7 linked regions of the Coturnix japonica genome follow. The protein of the gene in region 5 interacts with the protein of the main gene of each other region in a biochemical or structural test. Links are inferred from orthologs where the notes say so. Each region holds a gene or a part of one and is shown on either strand. Other genes may lie near its edges. The genes, in order: SLC9A3R2, MPP1, SLC9A3R1, PDZK1, ABCC4, ERBIN and SNTA1.

The links.
Region 1: the proteins of ABCC4 (region 5) and SLC9A3R2 form a complex in vitro, tested with the Homo sapiens proteins (2 studies listed by BioGRID and IntAct, with this or other methods). The link is inferred for Coturnix japonica from reciprocal best matches to the Homo sapiens genes ABCC4 and NHERF2.
Region 2: the proteins of ABCC4 (region 5) and MPP1 form a complex in vitro, tested with the Homo sapiens proteins (2 studies listed by BioGRID and IntAct, with this or other methods). The link is inferred for Coturnix japonica from reciprocal best matches to the Homo sapiens genes ABCC4 and MPP1.
Region 3: the proteins of ABCC4 (region 5) and SLC9A3R1 form a complex in vitro, tested with the Homo sapiens proteins (3 studies listed by BioGRID and IntAct, with this or other methods). The link is inferred for Coturnix japonica from reciprocal best matches to the Homo sapiens genes ABCC4 and NHERF1.
Region 4: the proteins of ABCC4 (region 5) and PDZK1 form a complex in vitro, tested with the Homo sapiens proteins (2 studies listed by BioGRID and IntAct, with this or other methods). The link is inferred for Coturnix japonica from reciprocal best matches to the Homo sapiens genes ABCC4 and PDZK1.
Region 6: the proteins of ABCC4 (region 5) and ERBIN interact in a test that uses a peptide from one of them, tested with the Homo sapiens proteins (2 studies listed by BioGRID and IntAct). The link is inferred for Coturnix japonica from reciprocal best matches to the Homo sapiens genes ABCC4 and ERBIN.
Region 7: the proteins of ABCC4 (region 5) and SNTA1 form a complex in vitro, tested with the Homo sapiens proteins (2 studies listed by BioGRID and IntAct, with this or other methods). The link is inferred for Coturnix japonica from reciprocal best matches to the Homo sapiens genes ABCC4 and SNTA1.

Annotation. Positions count from the first base shown.
Region 1 is NC_029529.1:6,206,138-6,209,637, reverse strand, and holds part of SLC9A3R2 (Na(+)/H(+) exchange regulatory cofactor NHE-RF2), read right to left. Parts: intron 335-3,500; coding exon 158-334; intron 1-157.
Region 2 is NC_029519.1:2,088,369-2,092,311, reverse strand, and holds the start of MPP1 (55 kDa erythrocyte membrane protein), read left to right. Parts: upstream 1-1,143; 5' UTR 1,144-1,271; coding exon 1,272-1,379; intron 1,380-3,943. UniProt on the Homo sapiens protein: Essential regulator of neutrophil polarity. Regulates neutrophil polarization by regulating AKT1 phosphorylation through a mechanism that is independent of PIK3CG activity.
Region 3 is NC_029533.1:9,145,246-9,149,474, reverse strand, and holds the start of SLC9A3R1 (Na(+)/H(+) exchange regulatory cofactor NHE-RF1), read right to left. Parts: upstream 2,801-4,229; 5' UTR 2,754-2,800; coding exon 2,388-2,753; intron 1-2,387. UniProt on the Homo sapiens protein: Scaffold protein that connects plasma membrane proteins with members of the ezrin/moesin/radixin family and thereby helps to link them to the actin cytoskeleton and to regulate their surface expression. Necessary for recycling of internalized ADRB2.
Region 4 is NC_029516.1:83,000,284-83,003,510, reverse strand, and holds the end of PDZK1 (Na(+)/H(+) exchange regulatory cofactor NHE-RF3), read left to right. Parts: intron 1-63; coding exon 64-267; intron 268-888; coding exon 889-1,188; intron 1,189-1,858; coding exon 1,859-1,936; 3' UTR 1,937-2,727; downstream 2,728-3,227. UniProt on the Homo sapiens protein: A scaffold protein that connects plasma membrane proteins and regulatory components, regulating their surface expression in epithelial cells apical domains.
Region 5 is NC_029516.1:131,509,672-131,513,732, forward strand, and holds the start of ABCC4 (multidrug resistance-associated protein 4), read left to right. Parts: upstream 1-1,261; 5' UTR 1,262-1,393; coding exon 1,394-1,467; intron 1,468-4,061. UniProt on the Homo sapiens protein: ATP-dependent transporter of the ATP-binding cassette (ABC) family that actively extrudes physiological compounds and xenobiotics from cells.
Region 6 is NC_029547.1:14,171,919-14,175,418, forward strand, and holds part of ERBIN (erbin), read right to left. Parts: intron 3,488-3,500; coding exon 3,372-3,487; intron 2,515-3,371; coding exon 2,445-2,514; intron 1,449-2,444; coding exon 1,349-1,448; intron 1,172-1,348; coding exon 1,050-1,171; intron 542-1,049; coding exon 371-541; intron 1-370. UniProt on the Homo sapiens protein: Acts as an adapter for the receptor ERBB2, in epithelia. By binding the unphosphorylated 'Tyr-1248' of receptor ERBB2, it may contribute to stabilize this unphosphorylated state.
Region 7 is NC_029535.1:2,063,256-2,067,283, reverse strand, and holds the start of SNTA1 (alpha-1-syntrophin), read right to left. Parts: upstream 2,801-4,028; 5' UTR 2,070-2,800; coding exon 1,808-2,069; intron 106-1,807; coding exon 1-105. UniProt on the Homo sapiens protein: Adapter protein that binds to and probably organizes the subcellular localization of a variety of membrane proteins. May link various receptors to the actin cytoskeleton and the extracellular matrix via the dystrophin glycoprotein complex.

The sequences.
Region 1 (3,500 bases), on a different chromosome or scaffold from region 5:
AGGGCACAGGACTGGGCCTGGATTCAGCATCACGCTTCCCAGCTGAGCATCACATCCCTTCTGCACTCCAGCTCCTCATTTCCAGGAGGATTCATGTTGGTAGGACCCAAAAATGCAACAAAAGAGCCCCAAAGCTCCATGCTGCATGTGCTGTTACCTCCACCAGGCGGTCCTGGGGCCGCAGACCTGCTCTGGATGCTGGTGAGTCAGGGTCAACCGAGCGGATGAACTGCCCTGGGCGGGACTTCTCACTGTGCAGGTTGAAGCCATAACCATTGGGACCTTTCTTCAGGTGGCAGAGGCGCGGACACAGCTCTTTCTGTCCATTTAAATCCTGATTTAAAAAAGAAAGATGATGGGGGGTGGTTACGCGGGGGGAGAGGATAAGATATTGTGTTTGATTTATCGGCTTGGTTTTGTTCTGAATCAGAATTAAGTTGAGAAGGAAGCAACATATCTGCACACCATCCCCTCCTTCCAGCTCAATGGGGACAGGTTAACAAATGGATTTCCTCTCATTGAGTTTATTTTAGAAAACTGATTGTCCAAAACCACTCCAGAGAAATTGAAACAACAACAACAAAAAATGCATTTCCTCAGCCAACAGCAGCCCAGACCCACCCACCCCCCCCCCCACCACCACCACCTTAACTCCCAGCACTGATTGATGTTAGCACCGTGCCTGGCTCCCAGTGACTCCAACACGGCTCAAGGCTTCATCCTCACCTTGCTACTCATCCCTCCCTGCAGGGATGTTCTGAGCAAGCTGGGTGATGCCCAGATCTGGAGCTGCATCTTTGGCCACTCTGGGGATGGCACCAGGGGATGGGCAGCCCTGTCCTGCAACCAGCTCAAAAATGATCATGCAGAACTGGGAGTACTGAGCCAACAGGGCAGAGAGGGATCATCTGTGTGCCCACCTGGAGCCATGTGGCACAGCTGCTCTGCAGTCACTTAGCAGTGAGCCTATGGAAACATTGATCTGGGCAGAGTGGGAAAGCCCTACAGAAGTCTTTGCAGAGAGGAAGCATCAACCCTGCACATGGTGCTGCCCAAGGTGCCCACAGCACGTCCAGGCTGAGCTCGCTGCAAATATTAGCAGAGCACGTGAGGGCTTTGGTGCTTCACCTCTATCACGTGCAAAATGTTTTATGGTTCCTTGGGGCTAACAGGAAGCAGCACACAGCAGGTTTTATCCCACTGCTGTTCTCGTGCACCAGGCACAGTGGCACAGCCATGTCCTGGGCAGGAGCTGCTAAGAAACAGAAGTGCCTTCGGGGCTTTTTTAGGGGGTCTATGGTTTAAGGAAAACATTTCCTGCAGCTGAGTTTTGAATCTGCATTGAAAGCAACACTGCTCCCACCTGCTATCAGACCTCAGGTATCTATCTATCAGTAGGACGATCTCTTACAACCTTACATTTAAAATAATAAAAACATGTGAGAATTTCCCCAATGTTCCCAACCAAAACAAAAAAAAATGCTGGTAATGAATCCCCATCCCCCAGCTAAAGGCAACTGGTAGAAGTGGATGGGGATCTCCTTTGGGTACTTCTACCCAAGAAACACACAGGGCTCCCTTTACCCCTATAAATCCACTCAGCAGTGACCCCTCCATGCTCATTTTCCCCAGAGGAAAAGCCCCCATACAGCACACACAGTGTGCAGTGCTCGGGGCTCACTGCAGGCTCAGCCCTGCGTTCCCATGCCCCCGCGCTGTGGGTTCACCCCATCTGCAAACACTTCCAGCTCTGCGACAGCCGAGGAAAACAGGAAATGATTCAATGCTGGAGCGGGCTCGGTGCGACCTCAAGGGATGCACAGGGCTGTAAGTGCTGGGAACAGGGGCTGCAGAAAGGAACACATCCAGAATCACCTAGTGGGGCTTAGAAATAACCTTTATGGGCCATTTTACTCCAGTTTTAAGCATTCACGGCTCCAGCAGTGGTTCCAAAGCACCAGTCACCAAATGAGCACAGTACCAACAAGCAGGACTTAAGGCTCTACCAGCATCATCCCTAAAATAAACTGCACAGAAACTGCTTGGGAGAGGACTTCTGCAGCAGCTTTGTGGGGTACCCAGCACTGTGCCCTGTGTGGGTATGCTCTGCTCCCACCACCACATCCTGAAGCCAAGATCCACCACTGAGATGATTCAAAATCGTTCTCGTTTCAGCCCCAGCATCAGCTCCAGAGCTCCCCAGAAAGACCTGTCTGAGTGCTGCCACTGCTCCCAGTGCTCCCAGCAGCGGCTGTCTTCAGCTTCTGGAACACATAGGGCTCCAACAAACTCCTCTGGGACTGAGCAAACCCTCTGCTCAGCCTCAAGCACATGATGAAGCCCTCTGCACCGATGCACTCTATTCCTCCTGCCAGCTCTGCTATTCATTCACTTCACAACCTGTGCCAACATTTCCCTGTCATGTGCTAGGAAGAAGTTTCCTGAGCTCCCAGGGGTGTTCTGCCTTTGGGGCACCCCAACCACACTCCTCCAGATCCCACCTGACCTCAAAGACCCACAGACACTCCATTCCTTCCCATAGCTGCACTCACACGCTGCAAAGCCAACAAAAAATGACCTTGTATTTCTCTCTTCGCACGCAATCAGCAATCTTCTTTGGGGGCATCCAGATGCTACAGCACCCACTGATCTCATACATGGGATTAAAAAGCCATGGATGTCACATTTGCCCTATATTGCTGCTCTGTGCACACACCCACTGGTACAGATGTGTCTGTGCAGATAAGAGCTGCACCAACACAAAGCTGCAGTGCCACAGCTCCAGGCACAACTCCACCATACCAGAAGGAAGCCGTGCATTAAAAAGGCACAAACAAGACATTAAGTAACAATGAAACACTTCCAATTAAAAAGGGGAAAATTAAATAAATAAATAAATCTGTTTAGACGTTGCCAGTTCTCATGATCTCATTGCAACACCTGAGGTTTCCAACACCACCATCCCCAAGTTTGGACCGGGGGCTGTGGGAGAAGCATCCCACCCTGCAACAAAGCCCATCTGCCCCCACGGAACTCCCAGAACTCATCATGTCTTCATGCAATGGGGCTCACCCTGCCGGGATGCTCAGAATTGAATACTGGTTTAGCATCACCCTCCAGCCACCCACACTTTGTAGGTGAACACTAAAGGCTAAAACCCCTTAAGAATCCACACTATAGGGGTTATCCCAGAAACACAGCATTGGATCCAGCATGGATGATGGATCCAGAATGAGGATGGAGCACACTTGTATCACTCCCCTGGAAAGGGACAAAAATGATGGAGCTCCTCAGTGCCAGGGGGCCTTAGCACAAGCCCCCAGCCTCATGACCACAAGCTCTTTTTATCTGATGCAGTCAAACCATCCACTGCTACAGGAGCTGGATACCCTCCAAGTGCAGATTTCCCCATGACACATCCAGCTTTTCCACCTCTCCTTCAGTGGAGTTGGAGAAAACACAGGCAGGATCACTCCTGCCTAATTTGCATTGCTCACATA
Region 2 (3,943 bases), on a different chromosome or scaffold from region 5:
CAAATCCAGGGAAAAAAATGCATTGGTATCACTGGTGTTTCTCTGCTCCCTTCCTCACAAAGACACGTCTCTTCTCAGGCACCCGTCGGTCCTGGCTGGTGGACTACCTGGGTGACACGTGGTCTCACTTCTATGAGAACTTCCCCATCGCTGTCCTGTACGTCTTCCCCATCACTGTGCTGCTCCTGCTGCTGCTCTGCTGCCTCACGTACGTGTGTGCACGTTGCACACCCCCCGCTGCTCCCATTCTAAAGGAGCTGTGTTTGCTGGGTTGCAGCTCTGCAGTGCCCACTGTCCCAGCACAAGGCAGCAGGGAGGAGGTGCACCCTGTGCTCTTTGTGTTTTGTAGGGTAGCAATGGATTGAGGTGAGCTGGGGAGCTCTGAGAGAGGCAGAGTGGCTATGCTGGAAGAAATTCTGGTGCCTTGATGGAGCACAGCTCCAAGAAGCCTCCAAAACTCCAGGGACCCCGAAGCGGTGTGGAAGGGCCTGGAGCAGAACCACCTTTCTCTTCCTTTCAGATGATTTTCAGGATTCTCTCAGATGGAATTTCACACCCCCAAAATGAAGTTCAGACTTCACTTGAGGCTCTGCTGTCTGAGTTATAGCCAGAACGCGAGAGGTTCAGTGGGCTTCATAGCGAGTTGTATGGCGAGGGGTGGGAGGGAGGTTGGTGGTGCAGCTGGGATGGCAGCAGTGTTTGATGCTTTGTTAGGGTGTCATCATTGTATCACTGAATCACAGAACTGTAGGGGCTGGATCTCTAGAGCTCATTGAGTCCAACCCCCCCTGCAAAGCAGGCTAATGCACCCCAGGACCCCATCGGCCCTCTTGGCCAGCAGGGCACACGAACCACACGTTATGTATGTGGTAGGAGGAGCAGGGGGAAGGTGTAATTGTTAAGTACAGGAGGCAAAGGACAGCACCGCGCTTTTGGGTGACCCCCTGTTTGGTAAGCTGATAACGAGTCACCCGGGGCAGAACCCACAGCCCAGCGCCTCTCGGGGCGGCCAAGCAGGTCAGACCAGCAGCCCCAACGCCCCCGCGCTGTGGGCGGCCCATTCCCAATCCCGGCCTGCCGCCGCGGCCCTGCACGGCCCCGTTGCCCCGCCCGTGGCGGCGCCTCCAGCCCGTGCTCGTCCCGCCCCGTGCCGGGCGGAGCGTGCGGCACCCGGGGCGCTGCTGGAGCCGGACTGGTGCGGCGGGGCCGGGCCGCTCTGCTGGAGCCAACGGAACCGGCTGCGGCTGCTGGCGGCGCGCTGGGCCGGGGGGATGACGCTCAAATCGGGCCGCGGAGGCGGCGGTGGAAGCGGCAGCATGAGGACAGCGCTGTCCGACCTCTACCTGGAGCACCTGCTGCAGAACCGGGCCAAGCCCGAGGTGAGCCCCGAGCGCACGGGGAACACGACGAGGCCACGCGTCCCCCCGGTCGGCACCGATGCCGCGGAGAGCCCGGCCTGCCCGGGAACCGGCTGAGCGGGGCTGGGGGCGGGGAGCGAGCTCAGCATCCTGCCCGTGAGCTTGTTTTGCTGCGAAGTTGTATCTGGTCTGAGCTGGGAGCGGGAGGGGTCCGGGAGTGCGGCAGAAACACCGGGCCGGGCAGCACGGGGTCATTCCCCGCTGCTGTCAGCTGGGGTGAAGGGAGGAGGGCAGAGCAGCAGCCCGTGGCTGAGCCGTACTGTCTGCCGGGGGAAGGGGTTTCCTTGCTGCCTCTGAGGGAGATTCCCACCAAGCAGTGCTGCTTTCAGCCCATCAGGGCATCCAAGGGATGTTTGTCCGGTCTGGCCTGCGCTGGTGGTTTGTTTGCGTGCTTTTTATGGCTCAGCGCTGGCAGAGTGCTGCAAAAAATAAATAGAAGAAGCATTTGGAGCAAGCGCTGCTGAGAGGAGCTCTGCATCCATCCCTGTGCATGCCTGGAGCAGGGATACATCAATCCCCCAAGCAGTGCGGTGTGGAGAGCACAGGAGCTGGCCTGCAGCTGCCCACTACCACGATACCCCTGTTCCAGTTGGGGTATAGGGGAAGGTGACCAGCTGGGGTTTGCATGGGAGCTGTTAGGAGGTGATGTGTAGGGCTGGCATCCAGCTGGGTTGCGTGTCTGTGTGTGTGTGCTGATTCCTGGTGGCAGGGACGTGGCAGCAGTTCTCAGGGCTCTGGGTCAGGCTGGCTGCTTCTCAGCTCAAATCATACAGAGGTTCCTCTTCCTGCTGCTCTCGATACAGCAGGGATCCCAAACCCTCATGACTGGAAGGCAGAGTCATGGCTAGAAAACAAGCAGAAGTGCAGGAGGCTGCAGCCCTCTTCCCTTCAGCCACGTGCCTGCCTGGCTTTTCTTTATCTATTAATGGCAAATAGAGATTTGACAGGGAGATGTGGGCTTTGCACCCAGCGGTGCTGCTGGCTTGCAGGGTGACCTTGGGCATGGCACCTAATCTGCTGTGACTCAGTTCTCCAGCTGTAAAATGGGCAGCGGGTCTGTTGGTTGGAAGGAAGGCCCTGCTCAGAGCTGGGGGTGCAGAGGGGACGGCGTGTGACCCCATGGCAGCATCACATGGCATCAAACCTCTGCCATTTCCAGCTGTGGTCCCTCTTCTGAAATGACCGTGGGTGAAAATAGCGGTTGGGAGCTGAGCAAAACTCCTCCTGGGTTTGACCAAAATAAATGATGGGGGTGTAGGGCTGGCTTCGGCTCTTTAATTCATGAATGCAGTTTGTGCTGTTCCGGGCTGTGTGGCTGCAGGGAAAACGCCACGTAGAAGGTAGGGAATGGAGTGGCTGTGCTGCTTCTCAAAGCCCCATCCATTTCCTGACTGTCCCTCGGAGGTGGCAGGTTTCATTAACACATCTGGAGGGCTGCATTGGCCTTCCATGTTAGGAGAGCTGTGTCTCAGCAAAACTGATGGGGCTGCTTGGGAACGTGGCCCTTCTCTATCACAGCACTCAGTGAGCTGCAGTGAGGGCAGCATCTTCTGCCCCCCCCCAGCCACTTGTGTTCTTCCTGCTCCTCCGTTCCCCATCCCCTGTGACCTGTTGATGTAGCTGTGCCTTTTCCTAGTTTCAGTAGCATAATTTTGTTTGATTTAAGTGTTTGTTTTCTTTTTAAAATGGATGGTTTTACTGGAATAGGTCTTGAGTGAGGTCTGCTCCAGGCTGACCTGAAAGGGCAGCAGCCTCAAACCAGAATGAATTACTACTAAATGACCACATGCCCACTGCTCCTCGCGTTTTTTATTTGCTAGTCTGCTTTTGTTTGTTGCTGTGTTTTTTAGGCACCCCAGTGCATGCGTTTGCTGCTCAGTGGTAATGCTCTCAGGTAGGTCGAGAAGCTGCTGAGCCAGCGCCAAGCAGAGCAGATCCAGGTTGAGCCACTCCAGGGCAGGGACGTGCCCAAGGCTCGTGTCCTGGCCTTGCCTGCACACCCACAGTGATTATGCCCAGATGAGAGGTGATGGTGCTGGAAGGAGCTGGAGTTTTGCTGTTTGCCATAGCTGGGGCTGCTCTGCCCTCCTGCCTCTCTCTGTGCTGCTGTGCTTTGAAGGCCCAACCAGCAAACCTTTCTGCATGTGCTCTCCATGTGCTCTTCATGAGACCACCTGATACCGACATCCCCTGGTGAGGAGAGCAAGGAGAGCCCAGGAGGCAAGCCTCCAAGTGTGCCCTTTGCACCAGGGTGCTGCTTCCCTGAAGTGCTGCTTCACCCTCCTCTAAATGAGGGTTAATGTTTGATTTCCAACCTTCTGACCCAAGTCATTCCATGGTTCCCCCAGCGGTGTGCAGCCCAGCCCAGCAGCAGGAGCAACCCAGGAGGGTGACACTGACCCTGCCCAGGGTTCTCATCAAGGGTTGCTTCCCTCTCACCTCATTCCCTGCTGGCACGCATGGCCCTGAGGCCTGGTGTCCTCTCCTCACCCTTGTGCCTCTTGCAGAAGAGGAAGATGGTGGGC
Region 3 (4,229 bases), on a different chromosome or scaffold from region 5:
TGGCTGCAGGAGCAGCTCCAAGCAGGGCACACAGTGCCTGGTGTCGGAGGGACCCCAGCCTGCACAGCACAGGAGCAGCAAAACGCCCGGGGTGCCCACAGCTCCCAGCGCAGTAACAGCACCCAATGAGCAGCATCTGCAGCCCCAGCTCACAGGAAGCTCCTGCAGCCCCGTGAGCAGCAACAAGCTGCAGGCAGCTCCCAGCAGCCGGCAGAAACACGGGCTGCGAGGACAGCCAGGCCAGCACATTCACACGGGTCCTGAAATCTGGCACACGCGCCGGGGCCCCATACAAAGGGGATGCAAAGCAGCCTCTTGCAGCATCCCTGTCACGTAGGGCCAGGCTGGAGCTGCTTTTCATGCAGCCCACTCCTGCTCCCGAGCACAGTTGGCTCTAGAAGTAATTTAATACATTTCTCAGTTCAGCTCTCCCTGCACAATGCACCCAGCTGCACTCACCACACCCCAACCTGCACCCGGGGGCTCAGATGGGTTTTGCAGGGGAGAGCAAGCGCTGCATTCAGCATCTGAGCACTGTGAGCACTGGGCACAGCTGGCGCTGGGCAGCAGGAGCAGTGCTGCAGTGAAAGCCCGGCACGAGGAGCTGTATCAAAGCACTGCCGTGCAGCTGAAGCCTCCGGAAACACGGTGTGGGGCGGGGGGCCACCACCCACAGACAAACACCGGGGACAGTCCCATGTGGTGCAAAGCCCCAGCAGGGCTCAAGTTGTGTTCTGCCACCTGGGGCCACCCCCAGGACCCTAAAGCCATGCCCGCTGTGGGTGGGTGCACTCACGGGCGTCCTGAAGCCCATCATGTCCCCTGGGGTGGCATCCAGCTGTGGCAATGCTCCCTGCTAAGGGGGACCGTGTCCTGGCCGAGGTGTTAAGCGCTCGGAGCAGCACAGAGCAGCACAGAGCAGGAAGGCTGACAGCCGGCCGCTGGCAACACGCGTCTCCAAGCCTGCATGCAAATAAAGGCCAGCCCTGCCCCACAAAGCAAACAGGACTCTGACACACACGGACTCGCCGCGCTCCTGCCGGCACCGATCCCGGGAGAATCCCCACCACGGGGCGGCCGGGCACGGCCCGGGGGCACAACCCGCCCCGCTCGGTGGCTCCGCTCCCAGCGCCGTCCTGCGGCTCCTCCGGGTTCCCCAGGCTGGGAACCGGCCCCAGCCCCGCGGCTTCCGGCGACCTGTTGTGAAACCACCGGGCTGCACCGAGATCAGCCCGTGTCAGCAGCGTCACCGACTTCCTGCTCCCACACCGACAGGAGCTGTCAGCGGTAACCGCACGGAACCGTCCCACCCCCGCACGGAGCTGCGCACCGAGGCGTGCAGGGCAGGGCGCTCCCCGGCCCCATCAGCCGCGTCCCAATGAATCCTTCCAGCTCACGGAGCAGAGGGCGCAGCACAGAAGGACTCGGTGGCCGGGGGGGACGCGAGCACTGCGCCATATGTTGGATGCCGTGGGAGCACAGCCTGCTCGTTCCCACGCAGCGTGTCCTGCCCTGAGACTCCAGCTGGGGCGACGTGCACCCTGCGGCCACCAGAGCCCACGGGCGGCCCGTGGGAGCTTTAGACAAAGGGAAGAGTCAGCGCTGGGTGACAGCAGCACCTCGCCCTGCAGGACAACAGCTCGGCACCGCGGGCGGGTTGCAGGAGCGGAGCGCAGCTCTGTGTCACGGCCTCCCAGGAAGCGCCTCGGTCGCAACAACAAATACTTGTTTTCACCGAGCAAACAAAAAGCGGCTTTATCCGCGGCAGCCCCGAGCGTCCCTTAGAAACTGCTGCGGGCAGGAAAGGTCAGCGGGTCTCCATTCCTCACCCCTCTGCAGCGCCCTGTTTGTGCAACCGCTGACTCCTACGTGCTTCGGACATTCTGAAACCCGAAGGGCTCCGCGTTCCCCATCCCCGCGGCGCGGCTGAAGCCGGGCAGTTCAGGGCAAGAGCGGCCGGCGCAGCACGACGCCTCCCCTCGCCAAATCCTATTTGCATTTCAGAGGCAGTTAACGCCAAAAGCCTCGGGGCGACCCGGCACCTGCTCTGTTCTCTTCTTTGGAGGTGACGACGCAGCGCTGGGGGCTGGAAGTGAGAACTCCCGGAGCGAGCAGAGCAAACAACAGCAAAACCCAAAGCAAAGGACACACGGCGGCAGGAGGCCGGGCCGGGCCGGGCAGCCCCCCGTGCTCACGCGTCGCCATCAAGCTCCCCCCGCCCCCCCCTCGCCACACGCCTGACCCCGTTTCGCTCCTGCGGCACAAGGACGGAGCGGGGGGGGCGCGACCCGACGGGCCGAGACCTGAGCGAGGAGCGAAGCCCCGGGGGCACCGGGCCGGCCCTACGTGCGCCAGATGCCGCCCGCCCCGCCCCGCCCCGCACTCACTGTGTCTCCGTGGCCGCCCCGCTCCGCCGGGGGCTCCCGCTGCTCGCGGCCGTCGGTGTCGCCGTGTGTCCCGGGCGGCTCCTCGCGCAGCGGCTGCACCACGAGCAGCCGAACAGCCCCGGCCGCGGCCCGGATCCGCTCCACCACCTGCTGGTGACTCTCCCGCTCCACGTTCGTCCCGTCCACCTCCAGCAGCCGGTCCCCGGCGCGCAGCCCCGAGCGCTCGGCCGGCGACCCCGCCTCCACCTTGCGGATGAACTGGCCCGCTTTGCCCTTCTCGCCGTGCAGGTGGAAGCCGTACCCGTCGGGGCCCTTCTCCATGCAGCACAGCCGCGGCGCGGCGGGTCCCGGCGGAGCGGAGCTCATGGCGGCCGAACTACGACCCGCGACTCAACGCTCTGCGCCCGCCCGCCACCGGCGGCGGCTTTTATACCGCGGGGCGGGGCTGGAGGCGGAGCCGGCCAATCAGAGAGGGAGGGGGCGGGCTCAGGACGGCGATAAGGCGGAATTATGCAAATAACGACCGGTTATGCAAATAAGGGAGTGGGCGGGGTTATGCAAATGTAGCCCCGAGGGCGCGGGCAGCGGAACCGCAACGCGACGGAGCGACCCACCGGGACCCAACGGGACACACCGGGACACACCGGGACCCACCGGGACCCAACGGGACCCAACGGGACCCAACGGGACCACCCGGATCACACAGCATCACACAGCATCATCACACAGCATCGCCATTCAGAGCCGGTTACGGGGGCTACGAAACGCCCCGGGATGGGAGATCAGCGCGGGTGGGAAGGCAGAGCGGGAGGGGATGGGGGGGGTGGTGCCCTTTGGGGAGCGCTCCTCTCGTTCAGGAAACGAGCCCCGGCCCCGGTAGCGGCGGTTGTAGCGCGGGGCTGCGATAAGAAACGAGCCCAGAGCGACAGGAAACACGGAGCTGCTGCTGCGGCCCGTCCCGACAACAGCTGCGACCCACAGAGCGGACGGGTCCTGGGGGGTCTGTACAGCCCCGCACAGCCCCGTACAGCTCCGTACAGCTCCGTACAGCTCCGTACAGCCCCGCACAGCTCCGTACAGCTCCGTACAGCTCCGCACAGCTCCTGCAGCGCCGGCACAGCCCGGCTGAGGGTGGGAAGCAGCGCGGAGCCAAGAGCCGCTTGTGCTGAATGTCCGGCATTTTTCGCAGCCATGAGCCGAGAGGCGGCAGCTGATGCCATTGGTGGGAAGCCGGAGTTATTTGGGGAATGCTGGACTCCGCACCATGAGAACAGCAGGGGAGGAGGTTGGTTTTAATTTAACAGGCCGTGTTTATTCTTCCCCTCTCACCTTTGGACTGTCTGAAATGTGCGGCCCGAGCGCTGGGAGTTGGAGGGGGCTGCGGGCTCTTCCCCCGCTGCGTGCCCCACATCCCATTCCCCGCCGTGCTGTACGGCCGCCCACGTGGAGGGCCCGGGGCAGGGATTTCTCACACAGAGAAAAACAGGCAGATGCAAAGCCTTGAAAATATCCAGCTTTAATCTGTGCACTTGCAAAGAGGGACCCGAGGGGGGCGCGGGGGTGAAGGGGGCTCTGGGAAAGGGGGGTCCTCGTGGGGATGGATGTGACCAATTGACCCCAAGTGCATCAGAGTGGTGCCCTCTGCAGCTGCCCTTGGCATCTGGAGCAGCACACCCAGATATTCCCCGTCTCCCTGCCCCGTACAGCACAGTGCCCGGGGTGTGATGCCATGGGCCACTTCAGCCCCATCCACAGCCCAAGTGATGGGTTTGTCTGGAACGACTGGGAAGAAAAAAGCTTTTCCCTCAAAGGGAAGTAAATAACAATAGAAAAGCTTCCAAT
Region 4 (3,227 bases), about 49 Mb from region 5:
AAGAAACCTACAGATTTCACAACAGGTTTTATATTAAAGTTTTCTCTGTCATTGTTCTTTCAGGCTCAAATTTCCCCCTTTTCATATTACTACAAAGTGCAAGACCCAGCTCCAGCAAAAACAGAGGAAAGAGTGGAGCTGCACACTGAGCAGAAAGTGAACCATAAGCCAAGAGTCTGCAAGATGGTAAAAGGGCCGAGTGGATTTGGCTTCAGTTTAAACATGGTCAAGAACAAACCTGGACTATTCATTAACGAGGTACTAAATGTAAGATAATCAACAATGAAAAGCTTGACTAGTACGTTGGGCAGCCTTCCCCCTTCCAACCTGTAAATGCACTTAAGGAAAAGCACAGGAAAAGACAAATCTCTTCTCCAGCTGTTTTAGATAAGTTATAATTGTCAGAAGTAGTCAGACTGATATTGTAGGACCAATATTAAACAGCAGAAAACCACATTCCTCTTATTCTACTAGATATCTAAAAGGAAAGGAAATCCAAATTTTGTCTCATGTTTTATTTATAATGTAAAAAAAAATAGTATTTTAAGAAGAGATTTTTGAACTATAGAGTACCCTGGAAATGTTAAGAGAACTTTCCCTTCCCCTTCTCAGAATTTCACAGCTGGCAAGAGTGAATCTTCTGTTATCTCAAATTACATCTGTGCCTTTTGTTTTCTTGAAGGGAGGGGTTTCACACATCACTAAAGAATACATCAGTGTAGTCAAGTTAAATTTAAGTTACACCATCCAGGCCTATTATCTCTCCCAGTTCAATTCTGCCCCCAAAATCTCCCTACCATGCTTATTTTGGCAAGCTAATGAACCATCAGTTGCTAATCCATCTTTTCAACGTTATGCTAATATCATCATTTGAACTTGACTTTGCAGGTACAAAAACACGGACCAGCTGATATAGCCGGGGTAGAAAATAATGATGTTTTGGTGGAAGTGAATGGGGTGAACGTGATGAATGAGCCCTATGACAATGTCGTGGCAAGAATCAAAGAGAGTGGTGATAAAGTAACGCTACTGGTGTGCAGTAAAGATGCTTACAAATACTTCCAGGACCAGAACATTCCCATCACAGACTCTATGGCAGATCCATCCCATGACACTTCTGAACCTCCTGCTTATACAGAAACCTCAATAGCAGAGTCAGAGAGAACCTCACCTGAACCAAGAGAAAGGGTAAGTATTACTGTATTAAACAAATGCCGAGGGATCACTGAGGAGATAACAAAAGAACTTCCTGTAACTGCAGCATGTAACTGAGCTAGGATCTTTAGGATCTTCAATTTTTACAAGTCAGTCCAAGTTATCAATAAGGAAGCTGTGATGTGATTACTGTAAATAACTCTTTTTTTCCCCAGGCATAACGCAGGTGAATATCTTTAATGCACAATCAAATTACTGAAAGAACACACCAGAGACTTTCAGGAGCAAGGCAATCTACACACTGCAATCCCCAATGAGGCAATACTGTCCTTTAAGCACAAAGAAATAGTCCTTAAATAAACAAAAAAGAATAACTTGCCTTCCTATTTTTCATGACCCTATTTGCAAATATCCAGCTGCCAGGCTTTTTCAAAAGTCGTGTCAGAAGATTAGCACCGCTTTTGTGTGCAAGTTCACCAGATATGGGAATTAAACAATAGGAAACTTCTATTAAACAAATTTCTCTCTAAAATGTAGCTAACGAGAAAGCACTTCAGTGACAAAAGTCACATTTACTGGCTCATTATGCCATCCAAACAAGTATATCATTAGGGCAGATTAAAGCATGAGTCCTTCATAACACTGCAGACTAGCATGTTTACACACTGAAAATAACCAGATTGTATTTGTTACTCCTCTGCAGGCAAGCTCATCTTCCTCTTCACAATCAGCTGCCTCAGCAGGAGCAGACAGTGACAGCAGCGACGACACAAGGTTCTGAGAAGACCATCCATGCCGAGAACAAAAAAGAAACCTTCCAAATTCTCTTTCTTCAATCACACTTTGCACTGCGACTCCAGGACTTGACTATTCCCATGACTATCAAACCTGTAAGGGACTGTGATGTCACGCTGAAATGCAGCTGCCTGAAATAAGCACTTCAGGGTATCCTGCAGTTACTTAACACACTGCAATTGTACTTCATTCACTGTACAAGGCTTTCTGCCTTGTAAAGTGGGGAGTAAGCCACTTACTACTATAAAGGCTTCAATAATTAGAGGTACATAGTTAAGTATATTGCAACAAAGGGAGGAAACAGTTCATAAATTCCTATGTATTTGAGCCTTTTAAGGGTAAGCATTTAATAAAGACCAACTGATTTCTCACCATCTCCCAGGAGAGGCAGTTCTCCTAATACAAACCCATTAAAACAATCCTGGAGGTGATGATCTGTGCTGTATTTATGGCAGTGCAATTACTATGATATGTCATAAACTAATATACTCTGTGCAATACACTCCTTTCTTCTACTTACACTGCAGAAATTTCTTTCAAACATTAAGTTAACTTCATAATTCATAACTCGAAACCTAAAGCCTTTAAGCACTGTTTTCTCTCCTCTGCCTACATCTGTGGATCATAGTGTTTAGAAGTGTAATTCAATCATGCAGGTTTGTCTAATTCCAAGTCAACACTACATTGTCTTAGATGTGATATAAATGGCTATACAATATTGCTATTGTATGCTTTGTCTCCTTCCTGTACACCAAAGACAATACAGAATTAAATTGTTTTCAGTGGTTATTTCTTTTTCCCCCAGGTCCTAGCCTTACCACCTATGATTTATGTTCCAGAACAACCTTGTAGCAAACAAAGCCTGGGAGTGTGTCTATGGGAAGCTACAAGTTCAAGTCACATGAATAAAATATACTTTTATGCCTTGAATGACATCAGAAAGGGGAAACAGGCTACTGTGAAAGAATATACAGGTTGAGGGGAACACCAGATTTATAGTATATAAGGTCAACACATTTATAACACGTAAGGTAAACAAGGCATAGCTGTTATCTTTGACTTCATGCCGAACTCCAGCAAACAGGAATCCAAAGCCTTAGTTCTGTTTACATACAAAACAAAGCTGAAGTTCAGCAAGACACAGCTAAGTTCCAGCTCAAAAGGACAGTGAGTATTAGTGGTATCTTTTCAACTTCACTCCAGGTAGTAAATTCCAGCCACTTTCTAGCTCACCTGCAAACAAATATTTTGAGCTGACAAAAAACAACTGTGATGCT
Region 5 (4,061 bases):
GAAGACTTCATTGCTCTCTACAACTACCTGAAGGGAGGCTGTGGTGAGATGGAGGTCAGCCAGGTTACAGTGATAAGAGGGAATGGCCTGAAATTGTGCCAGGGGAGATTGAGGTTGGGTACTAGGAAAAAGTTCATCTCTAAAAAAGTGCTGAGTCACAGTCCCTGGAGGTGACATGTAGGTGTTGCACTGAGGGACAGGGTTAGCGGGCACGATGGTGATGGTTTGACAGCTGGACTAAATGATCTTAGTGGTCTTCTCCAACTGTAATGAATCTCTGATCCCGCGATTCAGGTGGCTTTGCTCCTGGCCCACGTGTCCTTTTGCCTCCCATAGATCCACCAGCACTGTGAGGACAGCAAATCATTTCACCAGCAGCAATTTAATAAGCACACACTGACCAGTGCAGACAGCACAAGCAGTGTCAGAGATGGCAACCACCCCGCTGCAGCCTGACAAATGTGGCTAACCCCTCATCTCGGAAACACAATACAAACTACAGCCGGCTTCAAGCCTTTCTTCGAGCCTTGTGGGGCATACAGGGGTCACCCACGGCTGACAGACGTGAGCGGAGCCGGGCCCAGGCTGTGGAACCAAGAGCTGCCCGGCAGGGCACGGCGGTCACAGAATCACAGAATGAGCCGGGTTGGAAGGGACCTCAAGGATCATGTAGTTCCAACCCCCCTGCCTGGCAGGGCCACCAAACATACATATTTACTAGATCAGGTTGCCCAGGGCCCCGTCCAACCTGGTCTTGAACACCTCCAAGGACGGGGCATCCACAACCTCCCTGGGCAGCCTGTTCCAGGGCCTAACCACTCTCTTAGTGAAGAACTTCCCCCTAACATCCAACCTAAATCTTCCCTCTTTTAACTTAAAACCATTTCCCCGTGTCCTGCTATTGTCAGCCCTTTCGAAGAGTTTACTCCCCTCCTGGGAGTAAGTTCCCTTCTTATTGTATTTGATATCGTATTGAAAGGCTGCAATGAGGTCACCCCGCAACCTTCTCTTCTCCAGGCTGAACAAACCCAACTCCCTCAGCCTGTCCTCATGGGGGAGGTGCTCCAGCCCCCTGATCATCTTCGTGGCCCTCCTCTGGACCCTTTCCATAATCTCCATGTCTTTTTTGTACTGAGGGCTCCACACCTGGGTCCCTCTCAGCCCGCTCCCGCCGGTAGCTCCGGGCCGCGGCCTGCACGCGGGGAGCCGTGCCGGCAGGAGGCGTCCTGCGGGGCGGGCTGGAGGAGGGCCGGGGCGGGAGTGCCGGCTGTCCCGGAAACAGCACCGACCGGCGGCACAGCGGCGGCGGCTGCCGCGGTGGGAAGTCGCCCGGAGTGGTGCGGTGCCGCCGGCGGGCTGGAGCGACGCGGGGCGGCGCAGAGCGGCGGGCGGCATGGAAGCGGTACCCCGCGAGGAGAAACCCAACCCGCTGCGGGATGCCAACCTCTGCTCCCGGCTCTTCTTCTGGTGAGCGCCGGGCACGCGGCCGACACGGGGAGATGCTGAGCCCCGGCCACGCGGCTCGGGGAGGGATGGGTCCGCCCGGCCGCCACTAGGCTCGGAGCGGAGGGGGCGGCTCGGGCGGACCCCGAGCGCAGGTGGTTTCAGCGGGGGCGGCCGTGGCGGAGCGGGGTCATCCGAGGTGAAGGCGGCAGCGGGCGGTAGTGCCGCCCGGGGGGAAGCCGCCTGCCGGCCGCGGCCCCGGGGCCTCCCGCGAGCACCGCCGCCCTCACGCAGCGGGCGCGGCCCCTTGGCTGTGCCGCCGCACGTGGGGTGCCGCGGGGCCGGCGGGCAGCGAGCTGCGGCTGCTCCTCGGCTCCCGGCTCCGCGCCGCCCCTCCCGGCACGTAACGGGCCGCGGGCCGGCATCTTCCGCCGCTGTCTTTAACGGCGCGGGGCTTTCCTTCCATCCCTCGGGCAGCGTCTGGAACTGAGCGCTGTGCGGAGTTCGATGGAGAAGGGGGCGGCCGGCTGAAGGCCTCAGGTGTGGCCGAGTGAAGATGGGGTGCTGCCGGCTCGCCCGGATGGCCCCTGCGGCAAAGGCGGAGCTCGTGTTAGCGGGGACCTCGACATAGCACGTGTAATATAGCAGCGACGAGTTACTTCCCGACAGTTTTATTGCTTTGAAAGGCGCTAGGAAAGGACACTCAAGGTGAAATGGAAGAGCACCAACTCGTCTGTCAGGGCAGATCCCTTTGGAAGACAGCAGGCAGTTCTCTGAGCCCACAGCACGTGTAGGAGAGGAGGGTGAGAGCATAACACTCAGTTCTGCGACACAAGTAATATTCTCTGATCCTGAAAGCCATGCTGAGCAGGTGCAGGAATCCCTATTTGAAGGTAGAGGGTTTTTATAAGTCCTGACATTCACCTGGTGTAGGGAACCTGCTTTGTTAGGGGGGTTGGACTCGATCTCTAGAGGTCCCTTCCAACCCCTACAATTCTGTGACTAATTAGTGGGCATATGGGGTGTATACTTGTGTAAGGTTTTAACACCAGGAATGCCCATGTTGGACACAGCATTGCTAGGAAACCTGGAAGCAAAGAAAAAAAAAAACAAAACACCTGTTATGAACAAATGGGAGAAATTGCCCCATATGCTGCTTGTGAGGCCTCCAGACTACTTCTCAGCAATGGGTTCAGTCTTCTAAAGCCTCTTTTCTTGCATGGGCAGCATGTGATTATCAAAGGAAAAAACAAATTTAAAAAACCCACCTGAACATATCCTTGTTATTTGCATGTCAGAAAGCATTACTATTTTCTTAGTGAAAATTGCCACTGAAATGAGTGGCAATTATACAGTGGTTTAAATGAAGTAGTAGGGGGTTCCACTTTTCTACAAGTTTGTATGGCTTTACGTAAAACCATGAAGTATTTAAACACCCTTTAGCTATAAATTGATTTTAAGGGCCACCTTTAGAAACATCCCTTTTTTCCTACAAAGCGTACAGCATCTATCAGCCTGCCGTGAGAGCACTGCTGTGGCACTGCTTCGTTTTAACTGCTGCTGCTTCTTCATGCGGGATGCTCTGAGAGTTCTCCAGCTGGAGAACTGGAAAAGCGGTGCTGGAGGAGGCGGTCCTGGGAGCTGCAGTCATGTGGTTGCAGGAGTGTGCCCGCTTTGCTCTGCTCTGAGTGCCAGGTGTTATCGTTGAGGATAGAAGGTAGGGCACAGCAGGTTGCTGTGTCCTTTTTTTTCTCCTTCTTTCCATTTTTTTGTTCTTAAAGTGCAGTTTTGCCATTGCAAGAAACCGCCCTCCTCTTTTGTTGCCAGTAGTGCAGAAGAAAAGCTGAAATTATTCTGCCTTGCGGAAACAAGATCAAACTCCCAGGGAAAGAAAAGAAGTCGTGTTTTCACTGAATTATAAAACTAGGGTAATGAGTGTGTAGGCTGAAGACATTCTTCTCCCATTGTTCAAAGCTTGTCTTCTTGCTTTTGGGGTTGTGACTTTGACAAGTACGAGCTTGATGAACATTAAACTCTCCAGCAATACATTCATGGGAAAGAGGAGCATCTAGATTGTGTGTGAATGTTGTTCTTTTATAGTGCATCCCTTCTGTAATTCTAGGCTGGATGTTATGTGAATGAACTATTTATGACAAGATTACTAAGATGGAAGTGGCTGCAAAATACTCCTGTTTTCCATAGCTCTCACTGAATTATCTATGTTACTGTAAAGTTATCAAAGCCCAAATTGTTGTTTTGGATGTCGCAGTTACTGCTTTATCTACTGACCTCCAGAGTGGCGAGTTTCCATGCTTACCAAACTTCTCATCTGTCTGATAGTTACACAGTTAGCAGCACTCAGATATATTTCTGATGTATTTCATTTATGAGATTTGTTCTGTTGCTGGCTCAGCTCGCTGGTGGGAATGAGGGCTTTGAAGGATTGATAGGAGGATTTGCTTTCTTTGTAGGAGGGCCCTGAAAGACAGTTTCATTCAGTGTTTTTGATGTTCAAACATCTGTTCAGTATGGAAAGCATTTTGAGTTTAAAATGCTTTAGACTTTATGCTTTGTGAATCTCAGACTGGCTCATTTCACATCTCTTTTTCTGCTGGGGG
Region 6 (3,500 bases), on a different chromosome or scaffold from region 5:
TTAAGAGGGAAATCTCTACTACAAAGCAGGTAACTATTGCAGACTTCTTCACAGTGAGGGTACAGAACACTGGAATGGACTGCCCACAGGGGCTGCAGGGTTTCCTTCTTCACTGACATTCAAAACCCGCCTGGAGGCGTTCCTGTGTGACCTGGTCTAGGTGTTCCTGCTCCAGCAGGGGGATTAGGTCTACAAGATCTTTCAAGGTCTCTTCCAATCCCTGACATTCTGTGATTCTTAAGGCGACAAAGAGGTAAGCCCTGCTCTTTAATGTGGAGCATTAATGAGGAGAGAGAAGACTAAAAAGAATCAATGGCAATCTAGACATTTGGAAGTTTCAGTGAAGTCAGAAGATAGTATTACACCTAACCTTTACCCCCACATCTTTTACAGAAACTGTCTGGCTTTCTCGTTTTGATTCCTTGGCAACATCTTCAGTAGACTCTTCATCCTTTAGCCTGTGTACAATTGTCTGGACTGTTTTGACCATATTCTTCAGCTCATCAGGATATGGAGTTGGATATCTCTTCAGATTGCCTTCCTGTGTTATAAAAAAGTAATAATCTAATTTTAATTAAACGCTTTAATTAAAGTACCAAGCTTTAAAATAGACAATGGATTCAAACAAAACATTCAGACCAACACCTAGAATCTCCATTTTGCAGTTTGAGTCTACCTAGATTAACACAATTTTAGAAAACCCAGCAAAATTACAAATCAATTATTTTTGCTTCATATTTGTCTGTTGATAACAAGCAGGAAGAGTAATGACAACTATAATATATCTAAATAAAAATCAGAATTAACCATTATTTCTCAACTATCCCTCTCCTGAAGCAGCACCAGTCCAGCAATTTCATAATTATATGCTCCATTTTAATGATGAGGAAAAAAAAATAGTCCAGTTTTATGCTCGTAAGCTAATAAATGAAGTTTTGATTTCTTCATCAGAGCTAAACCCACAGTCAAAGGAATAAAAAGGATGGGAGTCAGGTGTGCAATTGGGAAAAAGAGAGAGAGAAAAACCATGGTAAAAAATAAATACTAACCCGAGGTGGTGCCTCTCTCTCATCTTTGTCTTCATCACACTCAAATGCCACCTGAGCACGTTGTTTCCTCTGTTCTTCCCACAAAGATGGATTGAAGCTTTCATTGTCAGATATAAACATAACTAGAGAAAAAAAAACAGGCACATTTAAGAACAGCATGCATTACACAAAACAAAGCTCCTCTTTTACTTCTTTTTCTTAGGTGGATTTTTTTGTTTTGTTTTGTTTTTTGTTTTTTAAATTTATGCTTGAAAAGGAAACAAATTAACAATGCTGTAAGCTGAAAAAGAAATCCTTACCATCCTCAGTCCTTGGTTGCTGGGGGAACATGTAATTTGTAAGCACAGTTTTCTGTGTGTCAGGGTCAGCTTCTTTTTGAAGGGGGATAAGTGGTTTAGACTAAGAAGGAAATCAAAGAAGGACACATTAAGAAAATATCTGTATGTACAAAGTAAAGATTATCTACACATAACTTATAGAATGCAAGGCAGAGCAGTCTTCAATCATTTACCCTCTGAATAATTTTCAGAGAATGAAGTTATTAATATATGTCAGTAAACGACTGTCTTGGGAATGGAAAGAACAACTTCAAGAGAATAAACTGAATATTTAAAAAAAAAGCAACTATTTTTGCTAGGACTTATTACTGTCTCAAACCAAGCTGTTCTGGGATGCACAGATATACTTTGTCATTTACACCTATGGACAGCCAAATAAATAAATAAATAAATAAAATATTTAATGTAAGTGTGTGTATATATATACACACACACACACACATATATAATGTGTGTGTGTGTGTATATATATATATACATATATATATTATATATATATTAAATATATATAAAATATTGATATCAGACTGATAACTCCCACTCCTTATAAATCTTCCACTATACCACACTTGAGATCCATGAATTTCTGGAATCCCTGTAAGCCTTAGTGCCATTCAGGAAATTGGTAGAGTACAAAGGAATTAAAGAAGGCACGAGCGCACAAGTTACTTCTCAATAACTTGAAACATGGACAGCCATGAAGTTCAAAGGTAAGGCAAGCAACCTACCACAAAAAAGGTTATCCAAATTTTCTATAATGGCAGAACGATACCATATGCGTGTAAGCACTAACAAATTATCAAATACCACCTTTCTGGTTTTAAGAAATAACAAATTAGAAATTCCAACATCTGCTAAATTGTATTTCATATAAAAGCTTTGCCAGAGAAGCTCTAAAGGATATTAAACCCAATATTGTTTATTTTGAGAGAATGGACAAAATGTCAAGGAAGTACTTATGCACATACAAAGCACTCAAAATTCAAAAGATCACATATTGATTCAATTAGGAATAAAGTCAACCATTTTTTATAATTTTTCTCCCAGAAAATTTCACCTGATTGTCCGATAGCCACATAGCAGTGAGCTGCTGCAGTTTTGTAAAGGTAAACGGCAAATTCTTCAGCCTGCAAATTACAATAAAAGTTCATGAAAACACACTTTTCAATACTACAACTTGACAGTAGAATGGCATTCTGTTTTTTAGATACGCATTCCTGCCTATTCCAGCAAGCAGCTTAAAAGACAGTGGAAACTGAATTTATCTCATGTCAACAACCTGAACACAATTTTTAAGACAGCCATTAGCACTGTATATAAATCAGCTACTGAACTTAAGATCAAGACTGTTTATTTTATTAGAAGAATCCTCAGCAATTTTATTGCTATACGTGTATATTCAATATACACGTGCACTAAAATTAAGAAAAATTAAGAAAAAAGGGTCACAACTAAAATTGTGGGGTTTTTTTGTTTTTGAATAAAATGTGAATAAAATCAGGCTTAGGGTAGAGTACAAAGGAACTGGATTTGTTTAAAAAAAAAAAAAAAAGGGAGGGGGGAGAATTTAAATTTATCTCTCCCAATACATTTGAATTCTGCAAATTGATGAATTCAAAAAGGCCTATTTTGCCAGTTTTTATTGACCAGCTTTAATTAAAAACATGTCCTTCCTCTTTCTTGCCCAGCACATGTGTTTTATCACATACTGTGACACTTCTGTTCTCTGTCCCCTACATGCAATACAGGAAGCTATTTACTTAAATCATCAAACATATGCCTAATTCAAAGGAACAGTTTCATAAAATCGATAAACAGTAAATGAAATACATGCATTTCAGTCAGATTATAAGCTGTGGGATATAACGAAAGGTAGCACAGCACGTTCAGAAAAATGCCGCTACTTACATCTGGGTGACAGATATCAGTTACACTGAAGTACACTCAATGCTATTGCATTTTACATGATTTTTACTTGAATTACCTATTGTCACTCAGGTTGATGACCTTCAATTTCTGCATGTCACCCATTTCTTCTGGGAGAAACTCAAGCTTATTTGAATGCAAAAACAATACCGTTACGTGCTTCCAATTTCCAATCTGCAAAAAAAAA
Region 7 (4,028 bases), on a different chromosome or scaffold from region 5:
TCACGGACAGGATGGCATCTCCCACATACAGTGCCTCGGTCTGGTCTGCTGCCAGTCCCTTGAAGATCTTGGAGATGAGGATGGGCATCTTGTTCTCCCGGCCACCTGCGGGCAGAAGGGGCACCAAGCAGTGAGGGGACACTGAGCAATTAGGGGCACAGGGCTGCTCAGTGCCCACACAGTGCCCAAATACCTCAGAGCTTTATGGCAGACACATGTTAAGTGCTTCAAAAAACCATCCGAGTGGCTGCAGATTTCCTTGCTGAACAAACACACGCCCTGACCGCCTCCCCATCACTTCTGGCAGGAAACTGTGTCACTATTTGCATTATTAACTGTGTGTGCTGAGCAGCCTTCCCTGCTCTCAGGACCCCACGGTCTCAGTGGGGCAGCAGCTGAGTGCTGGAGAGGCAAAAGAGCCCCAGAGCAGCAGCTCAGCCGCAGGACTACCTGCTCCCCACTCCTCTCTGTCTCCATTCGGGCTGCTCCCCACTCTTCAGCCCACCAGGACACTCTCAAGGCCTCCGGGCAGCTCAAGGAGATCAATTTGCACTTTAAGTTCTGAACCTGTAGGAGATGCCAGCAGCCCCGCCTGGCGCTGCCCACGCTCAGCGCTGGGACAGCGTGTGCCGGGCACCCCCTCACTCCCCCCTACCCCCCTCCCACGGGCAGGGACCGGCAGCGTGACACCTCCCAGGGCTGCACCCGCTGTGCCGCCAGCATTGCTCCGCTCGGATTTCTGCAGAGCCTCTCCGGGAGCTGAGGGCTCCTCCGGCTATCAGCTGTCAAGAGGCCCCCGCGGGGGCTGCTGCTGGCTGCCGAGCCCAGCTTGGAAGCAACGCCTCGCAACCACCCATTCTGGGCTGTGTGCGTGGAGAGGGAACCACCGCCCGGAGCACCATGCGGTACACGACCCTGCAGGAGAAGGATCCTAACCCTAACCCTAACGATGCTAACCCTAACCCTGCAGGGCTGCATGAAGCACCAGAAACCCCAAGTGAAGTACTGTCTGGGGTTAGGATGCAGCTGAAATGCTTTAACCAGAAGGTCCATTTTAGATTCTGTCCCACGGGCCATGGACAGGAGCTGGCTGGCAGCGGGGTACCCGTCCCTCCATGCCCCCACCCCCTGCAGGGACAGCAAGGTTTGGCTGCGTTTAATGGCACATGGTCACCCCCCTGCAAAGCAGCAGAGGCACAAGGCAGCCCAAGTGCTGCCCGCCCGCCTGCAGCTCCCCGTTTGGATCACGGCTCCTTGGTTTCCACCTACGTCACTGCAAAAATAAAGTTTAGCTGAAGCAAGTAACGTTTCTCCTTTCCTGGGAGAGCCGCAGAGCCGGCAGCGCTTCGCAGCCCGGGGTTGGTTACAAGGGGGGATTGCACCTCCCAAAAGCGCTGCCGAGCTGCAGCACCCACAGCCCCAACAAGCGGTGAGGGCTCACCCCGGACCCCTCACGGGGACCCGCACCCGACACACCGCCCCACCCAGCAGCGCCCGGCAAGGAGCGCGGTGAAGGCTGAGCCCAATGCGGCCACGTCAGACAGCGGCAGCCCCCCGCACCCCCCCTCGCGAAGTTCCCGGCCCGAAGTTCCCGCAAAGTCCCCAGGACGGGGGTGGGGGCGGCGGGGGACACCGGGGGACACCCGACCGGGGCAGAGCGCTGCGTTTGGGGCGGCCAGGAGGGGACACCGCACCGGGGTCACGCAGGACGCAAGGACACGCGGGCGGAGCCCTCCGGTCGCAGCAGGGCAGCGTAGGTCCTACCTGCCGCCGCCGCCGCCCACTCCTGGTACTCCCCCCCCCTCACCTTTGATGCTGATGCCGAGCCCCCCCACGTCCTGTTTGACGACGCGCACCGTGCGCCTGATGTTGGCGAGCGCCTCGGGCACGCCGGAGCTCTGCTCCCCTCCGTTCAGCTGAGCCGGCGGAGGCTCCCCGGGCCCGGGGCCGTCGGCGGGGCTGACGCTCAGGGTGTCATCGCTCAGGGTGAGCAGGACGCGAAGCCACTGTCCGCCGGGACCGCGCAGCTCCAGCAGCCCGCTGCGCGCCCCTCGCCTGCCCGCCGCCATCTTCCGCGCATGCCGGGCCCGGCCCCGCCGCTCCGGCAGCTCCGCTCCGCGCTGCCCCGCGCACCGCCCGGCGGAGCAACGAGCCCCGCGCACCGCCCCCGGCCCGGCCCACGCCCGCCCCGTCGGGGCAGCGCCGCGCTGCGGGGCTCCGTGCCCGAGTATGGGACGGGGAGCGCCGGGAGGGGCATGGGGAGCTCTGCACACCCTCACTCGGACCCTCCCGGCTCCGGGCACCGCGGTGCGGTTGTGTCACAGGGGGACCCTGCGGGGCACGTCGGGGCGCAGCGGTGTCCGTGCCGAGAACCGGGTGCCACGAAAGCTTCGGGCGTGCTGCGGGGTACACGAGTAACTGCTGTCGTGGAAGCGAGCAGCGCTGTCAGGCAGAGCCAGAAGTGACTCGAAGCGAACTCTGGACTTATTAAGGAAAACTGCGATGATGAAAAGCAATGGCAGCTCTTGGGGGCGGTGGGGGGCAGCCTCAAGAGCTCTCCCACTGGCGTCCGACGACGTCGGTGCCCCAAAGATGGGTGCAGACAGCAGCAGGGAGGATTTTTGGAGGCATTCAGAACAGTCTTGCTTTTTTTCTTTCCTTTCCCTGTCCTGCTTCTTGAAAACAGGAACGGTGTTTGTTTCCTTTGGCAGATCCGCATTTCCTCCTGCAACCGAGTGGCAGCAATGAGGGATAAAAAATACCTCTGGGTACATCCCCTGTGCCCCTTCGGGCAGCTCCAGAGCCCTGGGGTGGGGCTGCAGGTCCCCAAGCCCCAGGCTCTGCAAACGCAGCCTTAAAGGAATTGAATCCCGTTCACGCACAAGGGGAGGTGGGGGGGGTATTGCAGAGCAGGGGGCTGCAGCCCTCCCCACCCCCACACGGAGGCAGCAGCGCTCCCCCCACGCAGAGGCAGCTGTGGAATTTCTTGAGATTGCGGCAGAGGAAACCCTGAAGGTTTTTCCCTTGCAAAGCACAGCTCAGATATTCCAGTTTTCAATCCAAATTCTGCAGTTCGATTGGAGTGACTTTTTGGGTTTGCCTAACAGTGATGCTCCCACGCCCATCACACCCCCCCCTCCCCCCCCCCAGTCCTCTGTGCATCCCACAGACCCTGAGCTGCTGTGCCCATAGCAGAGGGGGTTCAGTCCTTTTGCTGCCAGTTGGGGTCACTTTGCCCCTTGCCACTCGCAGTCTTTTTTCTTTCCAATGCTATTTCCAGCACAGGTGATTATTAAGGCTGTATTCTCATTGTAAGCCACGTCAGAAAGCAGAGACACTGCTCCCAGTGCCACAGGATGGCACCATCCAGGGATATGTGATATGTTTGCTTCCCCAGCCCTGGCAGCACTATGCAAAGCAGCAGTGGGAAGCAGAGCAGTGCCACACAGGGGGAAACCTTGTGCCATGCCACACTGCTGGGCAGCAAGGCCATGTGTGCAGCCCCACATCATGGCACAGAGGTGCTGCAGTGCCCGTGGGATGGTGATATCTTCACTGTGATTCTGTCACAAGGCTGAGCCCATCCCATCCTCCCCCTGCAGAACATCCCCGCTCCCGGACGTGGTGGGTGAGCTGCTATTATTAGCTTCAGCTCTTGGCACACACAGGAGCTGTGTCAAAGCCCACCCGTCTATTTATAGAGCGCTGTTAGCTGCGTGAATTTACATGAATCACTTCTGAAACAGAAGAAAAGCTCGTGTTTGGGTCTGAAGTGGCATCCCCAAGGCTGACAGCAGCACCTCAGGAGAGCATGGGGCAGCAGGTCCTGCCTTGCTGAAACAGATCAGAGGCTGCAAATGCACTGGAGAGGATGGGCAGGGAAATAAAAGAGATTCAGATGTGCACCATGTACTTAACCGAGTGATTCATCCCCTGGTATACAGGAAATGTAGTGAAATGGTGTTGTCTGCCCAAACTGTGCAGTCTCCGACTCCTCCAGTTGACTTTAAAATGTTTTGCTTTGGGAC